Oryctolagus cuniculus: one gene and its partners. The protein of the gene in region 2 interacts with the protein of the main gene of each other region in a pairwise test. Links are inferred from orthologs where the notes say so. Each region holds a gene or a part of one and is shown on either strand. Other genes may lie near its edges.

Region 1 (4,244 bases), on a different chromosome or scaffold from region 2:
GTCGGCCGTGACGTCATTCACTCCGCTAATGCTCATTCCTCTGCTGCTACCAGTTTAACAACTAACACAGGCGAATGCTGTTCTACACTCAGGGGATCAAGGGAGGAACGAGACTGCTGAGGCCCAGCCTTCTCGGGGCTGCCACCCAGGCAGGGGACTCAGATGGTGAACACAGAAATAGTACCAGTTCAGCTGCTGAACAGGCACCAATAATATTAGTGATAATAAAAACAGCTTATGGGGCTCTTTCCACACAAGGTCAGAGAAGCCGCCTAGAGGAGGTGATAGTTGAGCCTGAAGGCAAAAAGGAGGAAAACTTCAGGCAAAGATCAGAAATGAGGAGTAGGGAGCAGAAGGAAACATTCAGGCAGAGAAGAGCAGGTGCAAAGGTCCTGGGGTAGCAGGGAATGAGTTTCGGGGAGAGCGGGGAGTGGCAATGAGGTTCTAGCCCAGGCCAGCAAGCCCTGTCAGACCAGACCATGTGGCCCATCAGCACAGCCGGATCCTTGACCCTCCCCCACCCACTGCCAGTCCATACACCATCTATGGCTGTACTGTGGGTACCTACTGTTAGAAGAGGGAGGCTGACCATGCACCTCTGGGGACAGTGTCTGTGTGGATCAAACTGGTCGTCCAGGACTCCCCAGGGTGACGCGGAATAGCATGGCAACACCTCTCCTGACTCAGTGGAGGCTCACAGCCCTGCAGACACACCACTCCGTGACTGCCTGGATGCACCCCTCACCCCGAGGGGCAGGGTCGATGCCATCCCCTCTGGTTAAGCATGACATTGTAAAACGGGCAGCAACATGATCTGGTTCAGGACACACCAAACCGCCGGCTGCAGCAGCACACACACGCCCTCCCCACCCCCCTTTCCGCCGCTGGCGGCAGGACTGGCTCTCTGACCTACCCCACTCGGAACAAGAGACAGAGGCTCAGGGAGATCCCATCCCATCCCCAGGGCACACAGCTGTGGGGGACGGAGCTAGGATCCAAGCCCCAGTGACAGTGACAGCAGCTTCATCTCTGCCCCACACGGGTGTGGCAAGGCGAGGGAGGGGGGTGGCAAGGGAAAGGAGGGTGCACCTGGGCGCTGTGGTTTGGAGCCTGGAATCTGGGCTCCAGGCATCGTCCTGGCCGGAGCAGGCGGGACACGCCACCCGCCTCCCGCCTCCCGCTGAATGAACGAGTCAGCCCAGACTCCAGGATCTGTAATGAGTGATGCTGCCCAGCCCGAGGTGGATGGCGCCACACAAGCCCGCCCCGAGCCCTGCACCCTGGCCGCCCCCAGCAGCCTCCACCGTCTGGCCCTGTCTGCTGAGCCCTGTCCAGCCAGGCAAGCAGGCCAAGTCCTGCCCGCTGGGCCAGCCAGAGGTCACCCTCCACCCACAGCGAGAGCACTGCCAGCTGCTCGCCCGGGGCTCTCGGGGCCTCAGTTTCCCTTCCTGAGAGACGCAGGGGTCTGGGAGGGAAGGAGCTGCAAAGGGGACGTGGAGGGCATGGGGGCAGCCTGGGGACACTGGCCCCTCTGTCAGGATCAATCTCCCTAAGCCTGTCTGAGGCGCTGCAGGCTTAGGAGCCGCTGTGAAAGCCGTCCTTGTGCCTGGGAGAATGAAGCTCAAGAGGAAGGGGGCCCCTGGCCCCCGGGGCCCCTCGGGCCCTGGCTCCTGAGATCAGCGCCAGCAGGGAAGACCCCAGCCAGGCCCCTGCGGCCCACCCAAGCCTGGTGCCTGCTTCGTGCCATGGGAGCGGTCCAGGGGAAGAAGGTAAGAGCCCCCTCCCCTCCTACTAGGGACCTGGACATGGCAGGGGGGATGGGGGCGGAGGGAGAGACACGGGACCCCCACCCACCTTGGAGCCAGCTCTGCCTCTCAGCTCCCAGCCAGGATTTGCATCTGGAAAGCTGGTTGGGGCTCAGGGCAAAGCCGGCATCCTAGGGGTAGCCTGAGATCCCATGTCCCTGAACACAGATCCCTGGCCACCCTCTCCCCATGGCCCAGGGGCAGTGGCCAGCACAGGTGATACAGGGAAAAAGATTAAAAAATATTCATGACGATGATAAAGCCGGCCAACCGGCTGCTGTCGGCGGTGGGGGATGGGCAGGTGACTTCAGTTTTTGTCCCTCAGTTCCTCATCTGTAAAATACACACGGTGCACAGCCACTGCCCCCGGAGGCTCCTCGCGAACAAGTACCAGAGGGTGTAGGACAGCACCTGGGCGTGGCGGCTCTGGGCACGCATGCGTTCTGTGATCGTCAGGCTGCTACTGGTGCTGTGATTCACAGGCTCTCTGATGGGGGGTGTGGGGGCTGTCCTTGTGGCCCGTGCGGCTGATTTACGGGGTGTAGCACGGTGGGAGTTCATCAGTCCTCCTCCAGGTCCTCCCCCACACCTTTTGCACCCAAGGCTCTTGGGGAGAGGCTCTGTGTTTATTCACCCTCTCACGGCCCACAGGGTCCCAGGCCTGCAGGTCAGCCCGGTGGTCAGGCTGCCAGGGCCCACCCACCATGGCAGGACCTGCACCTGCTCTGGCCCCTGGGCCCCTGTCTGTACAATGGGCTGGCAGGTGCCTGTGAAGTGCTGAGCCCACTGCCTGACACACAGCGGACCCTTCTGGACAGGGGGCTCTGACCCTCACACACCCGAGACGACCTACTGCAGTAAGGATGTGGTGACACAGGGACGGGCGGTCAGTGTGGTGATGACATCACCACCCGGGACAGCTGCATCCCACATCAGAGTGCCTGGGTTCGAGTCCCAGCTCCACTCCATTGCAGCTTCCTGCTCATGCGCACCCTGGTAGGTCACAGGTGGGAGACCTGGAGGGAGCTCCAGGCTCCTGGCTTCTGCCTGGCCCAGTCCCAGCTATATTGTAGGTATTTGGGCCAGCAGATGGGAGAACTCTCAATCAATCAATCTTTCTCTCCCCCCCTCCTTTCTTTCTCAGTCTCTCTCTCTCAAATAAATAATTTTTAAAAAGGATGAGGGAACTCAGGCTCAGAGGAAAGAAGTGAATTTTATTATTTATTTATTTATTTGGGCAGCAGAGAGACTAAGAAGACAGACAGGGGCGGCCTATGTCCCAAGTGGTAGCTTCACCCCGTTCCAAATTCCCACCCTGAGAACGATTTCTCACCCAGGGTCACGGAGCCCACGTACGCAGAGGGCGGGATTTTTGACCCCAGTCTCCCCAACCCCAAACTTCCAGGTGCCCAGCTCATCCCCTCCCTCCTGGTCCGTAACTGTCCACTGCATCTACACTCGCCTCCACCCCACCCACCCACAGGACCCTGTTCTCTGGGCACCGGCTGGGAGCCTGAGGTGAGCAAGGGTCCAAGCCACGCAGGACCCCCTGCAGCAGCTCACCTGGCCTCCCGGAGCCTCCCACAGCAGGACGAGCAAGGTGCCTGGCTCACAGCAGGTGCTCGGGGCAGTGGGTGCCAATGGCTGCTGTAGGGGCTTCAGGGGCAGCAGCCGCAGGGCCGGGGGTGGCCCCGTCTCCAAGCCCTCGGGGTCAGCCTCCGAAGGCTGGGTCACGTACATTCTCTGCAACATCTCCCGAGGCTCACGCCATCCCGTTCTTCACATCCCCAAAGGGTGCCAGCTGCCAACCCCGGCCAGGTTTACCGAGACACTCATCGCTGTGCATTTGTGGCCACTGAAACACACAGAGCGTGGGGGGCGGGGGGGTGAGGGGGACATGGGTAAAACGGCTGCATTTGCTGAGCAGCCTGAAGGGAGGTTTGCTTCTGATGGAGCCCCCAGATGCACGCACCTGGCTGGGCCCTGCTGGCTGCCCAGTTATCCCCACTCATGATGGATGGGCCCAGCCGGACACAGGGAAGGTTCCGGCTCCTGGCTGCCCAGCTTAGCAGCGTAGGATCGCCTCACCAAGAACCCCAGGACCCCCACAGCATCTCCTGTCTGCACCCCACTCCACAGTGCCGTGGGGAGTCCTGGCCTCCAGCAGGAGCCCAGGGGAGGGAACAGAGAGTGGCCCCGGCCCCCAGCAGAGCCGAGCCCCTCTTGTGCCTGCAGCCCCTCACCCAGCCTGGGTACGTGGGATCAGTCCACTTCTCCACCTGCATGGCTCGTCCAGTGGCCTGCAGAGAATGCCCCTGCGCTCACGACCACTCTCCCACACCCACTGCCCTCTGGGCCCAGGGCCCCACATACACACGCCCACTCTTGTAGGTCTCCAACCACGTGTGCACTGAGTTCCCACTAGGAGATCACAGGGGA
Region 2 (3,749 bases):
TAATCAGTCGCCTGCAATTAACCTGGCAGGAACGCCTCCCGCTGCCCCCAACCTCCGCGGGAGATCTGGAAGCTCCCAGGCTGCCCAGGGCCCGGCAGGCCTGTGCCCCACCCCCTCCCCGGAAGGACACGCATCGAGAGTTCCAGACTTTTCTCTGATGCCTGCCCTCAGCCTCCACAAACCCTGATTCCTCTTCCAGCCGACCATCCACGCCTTGAACCTGAACCTGAACCCCAACCTTGGGGGCCTCCAGTTGTTCTGGATTGTTCCCTGGGAAGCAGATGGGCAGGGGACGAGTGTCCTGTCCCCAGGGGCCCGCCCTGGGTTTCTGGACAAAGAAAGGACTTGGGGACATCAGCTCGGGCTCTGCCACCTTCCCTGTCCCCTGGATTGATTGTTCCGGGTCCCGGGGGGGGGAGGGGGAGACCATGACCTTCACAGCCTGACCCCGGTGGCCCAGGCAACCGGTCCCCACCCATGAGGACACATGCACCCCAGGGCGACAAGTCACTCCAGGCCGGTTTATGACACGTGGCTGGGGGTGGAGCCTACAGCAAGGTCTCCCCAAGCTGGGGGGGAGGAGGCGGGCAGGGGCACCCGGGCTGTTCCAGCGCCCGGGCCGTGGCTTCCAGTGCTGCCAACTCCTCCGCCTGCCGGGCCTCCAGGATTGCCACCTGCTCCTCCAACTTGCGCCGCTGCTCCTCCTGCTTCCGGTGGGCGCCTCTGAACGCCAGGACCAGGGCACTGCAGGGTGTGGGTGGCTGAGCCGGGGAACAGCGCCCCACCCCAGAGAACAGCACCCCCACCCCACCCAGGGCTGCGGCGGGGGCGGGGCGGGGCGCCGCGGGGGCGGGGCTACGTCCTAGCTGGCTCCGGGCATCCTGCAGGAAAGGCGTGGCCTGCACTGCACCCGCTCACTATCTTCCAAGTGGGGGGAACGAGGCCCAGGGACACACCCGCGGTCAGCAGGGGTGGGCTGCGGGGGGCGGCGGCCCACCTGTGCGCCTTGCATAGATCGCTGTTCAGCTCGGCGCTCTGAGCCCGCCGGACGCGCCCCTTCTGAGCCACCTGCTCCAGCTCCCGCCACAGAGCCCGCAGCTGAGCGCGAAGATCCGCGGCCCTGGCGCGGGAGTGGAGACAGCGGGGCTCCGGCCGCGGCCCGACCCGGTCCTCCTCTCCGCTCCCCACGCCCCTGCGCGCAGGCGCACGCTGCCACACCACACACACACACACACACACACACACACACACACGTCCCCACCCCCGCCTCCTCCGCAGAACCCACCCAGGCACACACCTGGCGAGCGAAGCGGCCAGCTCCTGGGCTAACCTCTCCGGGTCCCACGCCCTGCCCACCTGGCCTCCCTCGGTGGCGTTGGGGACAGCAGGAGGACCCTGTAGGAGACAGAAGGGAGGGAGGTGACCTCTGTCTAGAAGTGCTCAGCCCAGCCTGGGCATAGAAGCTGGCCTGGGGGGGGGGCAGCCAGAGCCCCTCGCTTCCCAGAGCCCCCATTCTGCTAAGAGACCCTCAAGTCCCTGATAAGGGAGATAAGTCACAGGGCCGGGGTGGGGTGGGGTGCCGAATATTGCTCCTTTGAGGGCAACCCAGGAGGGCTTCCTGGAGACGGTGGACATTCCTGGTGGCAGCACCGGCTTGCAGGTGGGAGGGGTGATGCGAAGAGCCCCGTTTAGAAGCCTGGGGCAGGGGCGGTGTGGTGGCACCGCGGGGCGGGCTGCTGCCTGGGACAGCCGTGGCCGTATCAGAGTGTTGGTGGCGTCCCAGCTGATCTGCGTGCGCCCCAGCTCCCTGCGCATGCGCCCCCTGGGAGGCAGGGGCCCACGACTCCAGGGCTTGGGTCCTGCCGCCCACGTGGGAGACCCGGATGGAGCTCCCGGCTCCTGGCCCAGACCCGGCCTTTGCAGCCATGTGGGGAGTGAACCGGCAGATGGAAGACCTCTCTCCCTCTCTCTCTCTCATCCACTGAACCCCTAGGGGCCAAGGGCAGCGACCCCCGAAGGGCCGCTCACCTGGGGCCGCTCCTCCTCCTCCTCCTCGCTGCTGCCCGCCCCGCTGCTGTCCCCCGCGCCGCTGTGGGGCCCCGCGGCTCCCAGCTGCGCGCGCTCCCACTGTAGCTGCTCCAGCAGGAGTGCGTGGGCGGGGCCCTGGGCGCGCAGCGCCGCCTCCCGCAGCTCCAGGCCCCGCTTCTCCCGCCGCACCAGCTGCAGCTGCAACATCAGGTCCGCCAGGGTCTCCTGAGGGGTCGGGGAGGGGAAACTGAGGCTGGCGAGCACGTTTGGGAAAAACTGGATTGAGAGGTCTGTGAGTAACAAAACTCCTATTCATCCCTCAAAACCCCAGCTTCAATTCTCCCTCCAGGAAGCCCTTCCCAGCCCAGCAGAACCTTTCCCCCTCCCCATCCCAACCACACCTCTGTCGGTTCTGACCCCCCCCCCCCAGGGACCACAGCCCCTGTGTACCCGTGTGGCCACCAGTTCCCTCTGTATCTCCATCTTCTCCAACCGCGGCAGGGCCGGGCCGGGCTGGGCTTCCAGCATGGCCTGCACCATGGCTTCTGCGTGGGGCATGGTGGGCGTGGGCTCCACGGTGGGGCCCGGCTCTGGGGGGGTCTTCACCAGAGCCTGGCGCTGCCGCAGACGCCGGGCATAGCCCTGCAGCAGGGCGGCCACTTCCTGCGGTGTGGGTTTATCCACACTGCTGCCCTCGGGGCTGCGGGAGGAGAGGAGGAGTGGGTGCCGCAGGCCATCACGGAGGCCAGCCCCGGGGAGCCCCAAGGCCCAGCGCGGTCCCCGGGCGCCTACCTTGGCTGTGCCTTCCGCGGTGCCGCGGCGTCTGCGCCGCCCTCCTCCTGTGCCAGCAGCCGCCACGCCTCCCTCTCAGTGGCCTCCAAGTCCCGCGCTCCGGAGCTGGCCTCGTGCAGGGCCAGGAGAGCCGCGCACACGGCCTCACGGTGCTCACTGCGGGACGGGGGTCCTGAGCGCCCTCCCACGCCGTGGCTCGCGGCCCCTCCCCCGCGGGGACCTCTCCCCTGACCTGTCCTGCAGCGCCAGCCGCAGGGCTGTAGCCTCGGCTTCCCGCTGGCTCAGCCGCATGCTGAGGCTCTCACACCGGCCCTTGCGCCCTTGCAGCACGGCCAGTAGCAGCCGGTTGAAGCATTTGAGCTTCTCGATGTTTCTGTCTCGGGGTGGGGGAGGGAGAGGGAAAACGAGGGGACTCTTTGGAGGGGGGGAGCAGCCAGGGGCCAGTTTCCACCCCGCTCCTACCCCGTTTAGACGCCCATCCCCGGGGCTTAGACGCCCATCCCCGGGGCGGCAGGACAGCGGCCGGTGCCCTTAAAAGCTCAGCAGTGGTGGCGCTCACCCGCGGAGCTGTTCCATCTGGGCCTCCAGGATCTGCATCTCGGGGGCCAGGGGTCGCGAGGGGAGAGAGCCCAGGATGTGCACACTGGAGTCACTCCGGATGCGCCGGAGCAGCGGGTGAGCCAGGGAGAGGGAGTCCTGCAGGGAGGACGTGTGCCCTGAGCCAGCCAGATGGCCACCGAGAACCCAGGGCCATGCAACCCCCCAGAGCCAGGATCCGGGTCTCCCCTGCCTGGATGCTGCGGGTTGCGCCTCTCGCACTCACCTGACCCCCCCAGGGCTCCCCATCCGCCCCAGAACTGCTAGAACCACTCCCTGAGCCTCCAGCGTGGCTGTGGGTGCGCGGAGACAGGGGCTCCAGCCTCATCAGA
Region 3 (4,310 bases), on a different chromosome or scaffold from region 2:
ACTTTTATTCTTCTTCTTCTTTTTTTTTTTTTTTCTTTTTAGATAAACACCCTCCATCGGCTTTTGTCCCCTGCCCGGGAGATTTCCAACAGCACTGGGCAAGAGGCCTGGTCCCTGGGGCCGCCCTGCCTGGTGACAGCGCTGCTAGCAGTGGTGGGTGAAGGAGCCCTTGGCCCACAGTCTAGGTCCCAGGGAATGCAAGCCCTGGCAGAGAGAAGCCGAGGACTGGGAAAGGCTTCTTACTAAGGATGTGGTGGGAGAGGGCATGGGGACGAAGTAGCGGGGAGAGGACGGGCAGGAGGACAGGGGTGGAGGCGTGATCGGGCCCCTGAGGCGCCCATGGCTGGAGGCCACCTCCACCGTGACCCCAGGGGCTGGCAGCGTGAGGTGCAGGCCCCGCCAGGGCCGGGCCCTGTGGCTGGAGCTCAGGGACACAGGCGGTTTCTGGGATTCGGGCTCTGAGACAGGCCCCTCCTGCTTGGGGTGATGTGAGAGGCTTGGGACAGCGGGCTCTCCCGTGGGTGTCACCTTGAGCTTGAATCTGGTGGCACTAGTCATGGAGGGGGAGCCCCGTGTGCCCTTGCTTTTCCTGCGCTCCGTCCTGGGGATGGAGGTGGTGGTGTTGGGGGATGCTGCCTCCTCCTTGTCGGTGGGCGAGGCCAGCTGGGAGCCTGGGGGCAGCAGATTGTAGTGGAGGGGCAGCTCTGATGAGGCCTCCGCGTTGGCGGGGAAGAGTGGGCAGCCGTCGTGCCGCCGGGCACCGCTGAGCTTGTCCACAGCTTGGCTGACCACGCTCTGCAGCGCGGGGAACAGGTGATGCTGAGCCAGAAAGTCCAGGGTGCAGTGGGGCTGGCGCAGCGAGCAGTAGCCAGGCAGGTCGAGGGCCGCCGGCTGGCTCAGTAGCGCCATGAGCTTTTTGTCGAACTCCTGCTTGAGGAAGCTCAGCTCCTCCTCACTGGGCGTCTGCCCTGATGCTTCCGGGGTGCCCGTGCTGGAACTCAGCAGGTCTGAGAACCAGGACAGGGGCTGCTCCGGGGACCACTGGCTGGTGGTCTGGCTGCCCAGGGAATCCCACCGCAGGGAGTCCTTCCGGGAGGGCTGACTCCTGCTTTTCTGCGGAGAGAGGGGGAATCACACTTGCCCAGGATCCTGCCAAGCCGCCAGCCCCTCCCGCCCCAGTCTCCGCCCCACCCCACCGCATCCCCACCCCGCCAAGCCTTGCCCTCGGATCTCACCCCTTTCCTCTCCAGTTTCAGTAACCGCTTGAGGCTCTGCTCCAGCAAAAGCCTGTCTTTCAGAGGGGGCAGGGAGCCTGAGCCTCGGGCCCCCAGGTCACTGCCCTGGCCATGGGACCCCAGCCAGCCAGCAGTGAGGCTGCTGCGGGAGTCCGACACGGAGCTGGAGCGGGATGGATAGTTGTTGGGGCGGCCAACACACAGGCTGGGCTGAGCGCGGTTCCGGCAGACCGTGCTCCAGGTGGGCCGGGCCCGGGGCCGCCGCCCTCCGCTGGCAGGCTCCACCACTGGATCTCGCACCTCCACCAGCGGCACGCCAGCCCCCGTCTTCATGGTGGCCATGCGCTCCGTGGCCTCCTCTACCACCGTCTGCAGGCTCTCGAGCACCTGACCCTCGGTCAGGAAATCCAGGAAGCTGCCGAAGGACTGGGGGCCCTTGGTGTCTCGGTGGGGACCTGGCTGCGCTGAGGTGCCCTGCGTGAACCGCGGGGGTGGCACACGGGCCGACCCCATTTGTGGCAATGGGGGTTTCTTGAGAGACTGCACCTGGGCAGACAGGCAGAGCACAGTGGGTAGTGGGCAGGGACACCTTTTACAGGGCGAAGAGGACCCTGGCTCCCCATATGCCCAAGGCCAGCTCCGTCGCCCCTGTCCGGAGCACCTACTTCTTCACCTTGAGCCCTAGGCCCCGAGGACCCCTCCTGGGGTCGCTGGAGGTCAGCGGGGGACACGGGGAAGGGAAGTGGGGGGTGATGAGGCCCCAGGAGGGCCCCGGGCAAGGACAAGGCAGCGGCAACGGCTGCTTAAGGAGGCCCACAGGCACCGAGCAAGGGGGCTGTGGTTTCAGGGGGAACGCACAGGGATCCCTGGGGTCAGCGTCCTGCGGGGGATCACTTACCCGGGCCACATAGGGACTGTGGCCGGCCTCATCGTCGGCCAAGTATCCCGAGTGGTAGCGGAAGCTGGCCATGGTGCGGGTGGCCAGGCCCCCTGCCGGCTTCCTCTCTTTGCGATCCACAGCACTGCGCGCAAGGACGGGGAGACGGCTGTGAGGGTCTATCCAGGCTCCAGGGGGACAGTCTCCCCGCACCCCGCGATCCCCAGGCATCTGCGGACAGTCTGATGAGCCTGGAGTATGTGTGTGTGTGTGTGTGTGTGTATTGGGGTGGGGGGTCCTCCGAAGAGCGTCAGAAATCGTGCCTCCGAGCATCTCTGGGTTTGAGTGCGCTCCCAGACCCCGCGTGACCCGGCCTCTGCTCCCGGCCCCGGCCCACCCACCCGCTCACCTGAGACCCCGGCTCTGCCGCGCGCGGTCCTGCGCCCCGTGCGCCCGCCGGAGGGAGGGCAGCGGCGCGGACCGCTTCGAGTCTCCAGGCGGCCGCCCAGCTCACTAATTTGCATACCGAGCTCTGATTGGCTTACACTGGGACGGTCGCCCGCTAACTCCCCCGACACAATGGTTGTGGGGGCGTGGTCTGCCTTGGTTCCTCCCTCGCTGGGCAGGGTTTCGCTCCGCCCCGCCCCATTCTCCGAGAGCCAGGGGACCAGAGAGAAGCTGCTACCCACCCCCCCACCCCCCGCCCCGACCCGGCTCGGTCCGGCCCCTGGAGCCGTGGTCCGCACCTGTGCTGCGGGGACCTTGCGAGCCAGAGCCACAGCTTTGACGGCACCACTGGGAGACAATACCCCCATCAGGGTGTCACCTGCTTGTGTGACAGGCGCCTGCTTTGGGCAGAGCTTGAGCCAGTCACCCCTAACCTCTGATATTTCCAAGGTCTGGCACCCAGTGGGTGCTCAGTATATGCCAGTTTCCACCTTCCAGTCTGTGACCCCGCCAGCCCCAGCCTCTGACCTTTCTGGGATCAGCTTCCCAGTGGGCGGCGGTGGTGGACTGGGGTCATCAGTGGTCGTTACAGCAGCCTCCTAGGCCAAGAGCCCGGGAGAAGGGCTCTGTGAAGCCTCCAGCCCTGTCCAGGTTCCCTGATGCCTTGTTTGTCATTTTCAGAGTCCACTCTGGCCCTGAGGTAGGGGGCCAACAGGACCGGAGCCAACCCGGGACCACCGGGCCAGGCCCAACTCCACTACTCCCCAGCAGGACCATGCCTCTTGGATCTGAGCCTCAGGATCTACGGCCATGGAACAAGAATGGCATTACCGACTTCATAGTCTGGGCACGGATAGACCCTTCCCCATAGGGAAAACCAAAGACAGTCGCGGATATAACAAAAACTCTGTTTTTCATGGTGACTCTTAGTCACAGGTAAGGAAAGCTTTCCTGGGCCAGAGAAGGGACAAAAGAAAAAAAAAAAAAAAAGTGATGTCGTGAAGGTGAAAGTTGTGGGCTGGCACAGGGCTTGAGACGGAAGCCGGGGCTATTGCTTTCCTATGAGGACAATGGTGTACGTGTTTTGTTCATTTTCTCATTATTTGAGGCTTTTACAAATCAAGGGAAACACTCTTAGAGGAAAAAAAATCATCAAAGGACAACAGGCAATCTGAAAAGGAGATGAAAATACCCAATAAAGTGAAAAAAGCCAAACACACTCTTATTAAAAAAAATTACAAGAATGAGCTAAGGGTGGGTACTTGTGGCACAGCAGCTTAAGCTGCAGCTTGGCATGCCATCCCTTATCCAAGCACTGGTTCGAGTCCCGGCCGCTCCACTTCCGATCCAGCTCCCTGCTAATGTGCCTGGAAATGCAGCAGGAGATGGCCTGAGTGCATGGGTCCCTGCACCCACAAGGGGAACCAGGATGGCGCTCCAGGCTCCTGACGTCTACCAGGACCAGCACTGGCTGTTGCAGCTATCTGGGGAGTGAACCAGCGGATGGAAAACTCTCCCCCTCCCCGCCCCGCTTCCTTCTCCCACTTTCTGTCTCTTTGCCTCTCGAATGAATAAGTCTTTAAAAATAATGAGATAAAACTCGCGTGATCATATTTATCTTCTCTAAATGAGACCAAAAAAAAGTTTTTGGTGGGGAGGAAGAGGAATTGGGTGTGTTGATTTGCTTAGAGAAAGCCCTGGAAGGTCACTTCCAATTTTGCATATCAAATACGGAGGGCTTCAGAAAGCTC

The links.
Region 1: the proteins of USHBP1 (region 2) and FAM107A interact in binary tests that used the Homo sapiens proteins (3 or more experiments, as listed by UniProt). The two-hybrid records come from large-scale screens. The link is inferred for Oryctolagus cuniculus from reciprocal best matches to the Homo sapiens genes USHBP1 and FAM107A.
Region 3: the proteins of USHBP1 (region 2) and CCDC116 interact in binary tests that used the Homo sapiens proteins (3 or more experiments, as listed by UniProt). The two-hybrid records come from large-scale screens. The link is inferred for Oryctolagus cuniculus from reciprocal best matches to the Homo sapiens genes USHBP1 and CCDC116.

The regions. Positions count from the first base shown.
Region 1 is NC_091441.1:91,399,282-91,403,525, forward strand, and holds the start of FAM107A (actin-associated protein FAM107A), read left to right. Parts: upstream 1-1,434; 5' UTR 1,435-1,745; coding exon 1,746-1,769; intron 1,770-4,244. UniProt on the Homo sapiens protein: Stress-inducible actin-binding protein that plays a role in synaptic and cognitive functions by modulating actin filamentous (F-actin) dynamics. Mediates polymerization of globular actin to F-actin. Also binds to, stabilizes and bundles F-actin.
Region 2 is NC_091447.1:65,254,491-65,258,239, forward strand, and holds the end of USHBP1 (harmonin-binding protein USHBP1), read right to left. Parts: coding exon 3,644-3,749; intron 3,517-3,643; coding exon 3,380-3,516; intron 3,194-3,379; coding exon 3,053-3,193; intron 2,977-3,052; coding exon 2,821-2,976; intron 2,729-2,820; coding exon 2,479-2,728; intron 2,254-2,478; coding exon 2,029-2,253; intron 1,396-2,028; coding exon 1,298-1,395; intron 1,121-1,297; coding exon 998-1,120; intron 745-997; coding exon 549-744; 3' UTR 502-548; downstream 1-501.
Region 3 is NC_091452.1:29,154,158-29,158,467, forward strand, and holds the start of CCDC116 (coiled-coil domain-containing protein 116), read right to left. Parts: upstream 2,811-4,310; 5' UTR 2,522-2,810; intron 2,258-2,521; 5' UTR 2,206-2,257; coding exon 2,134-2,205; intron 1,782-2,133; coding exon 1,236-1,781; intron 1,114-1,235; coding exon 529-1,113; intron 1-528.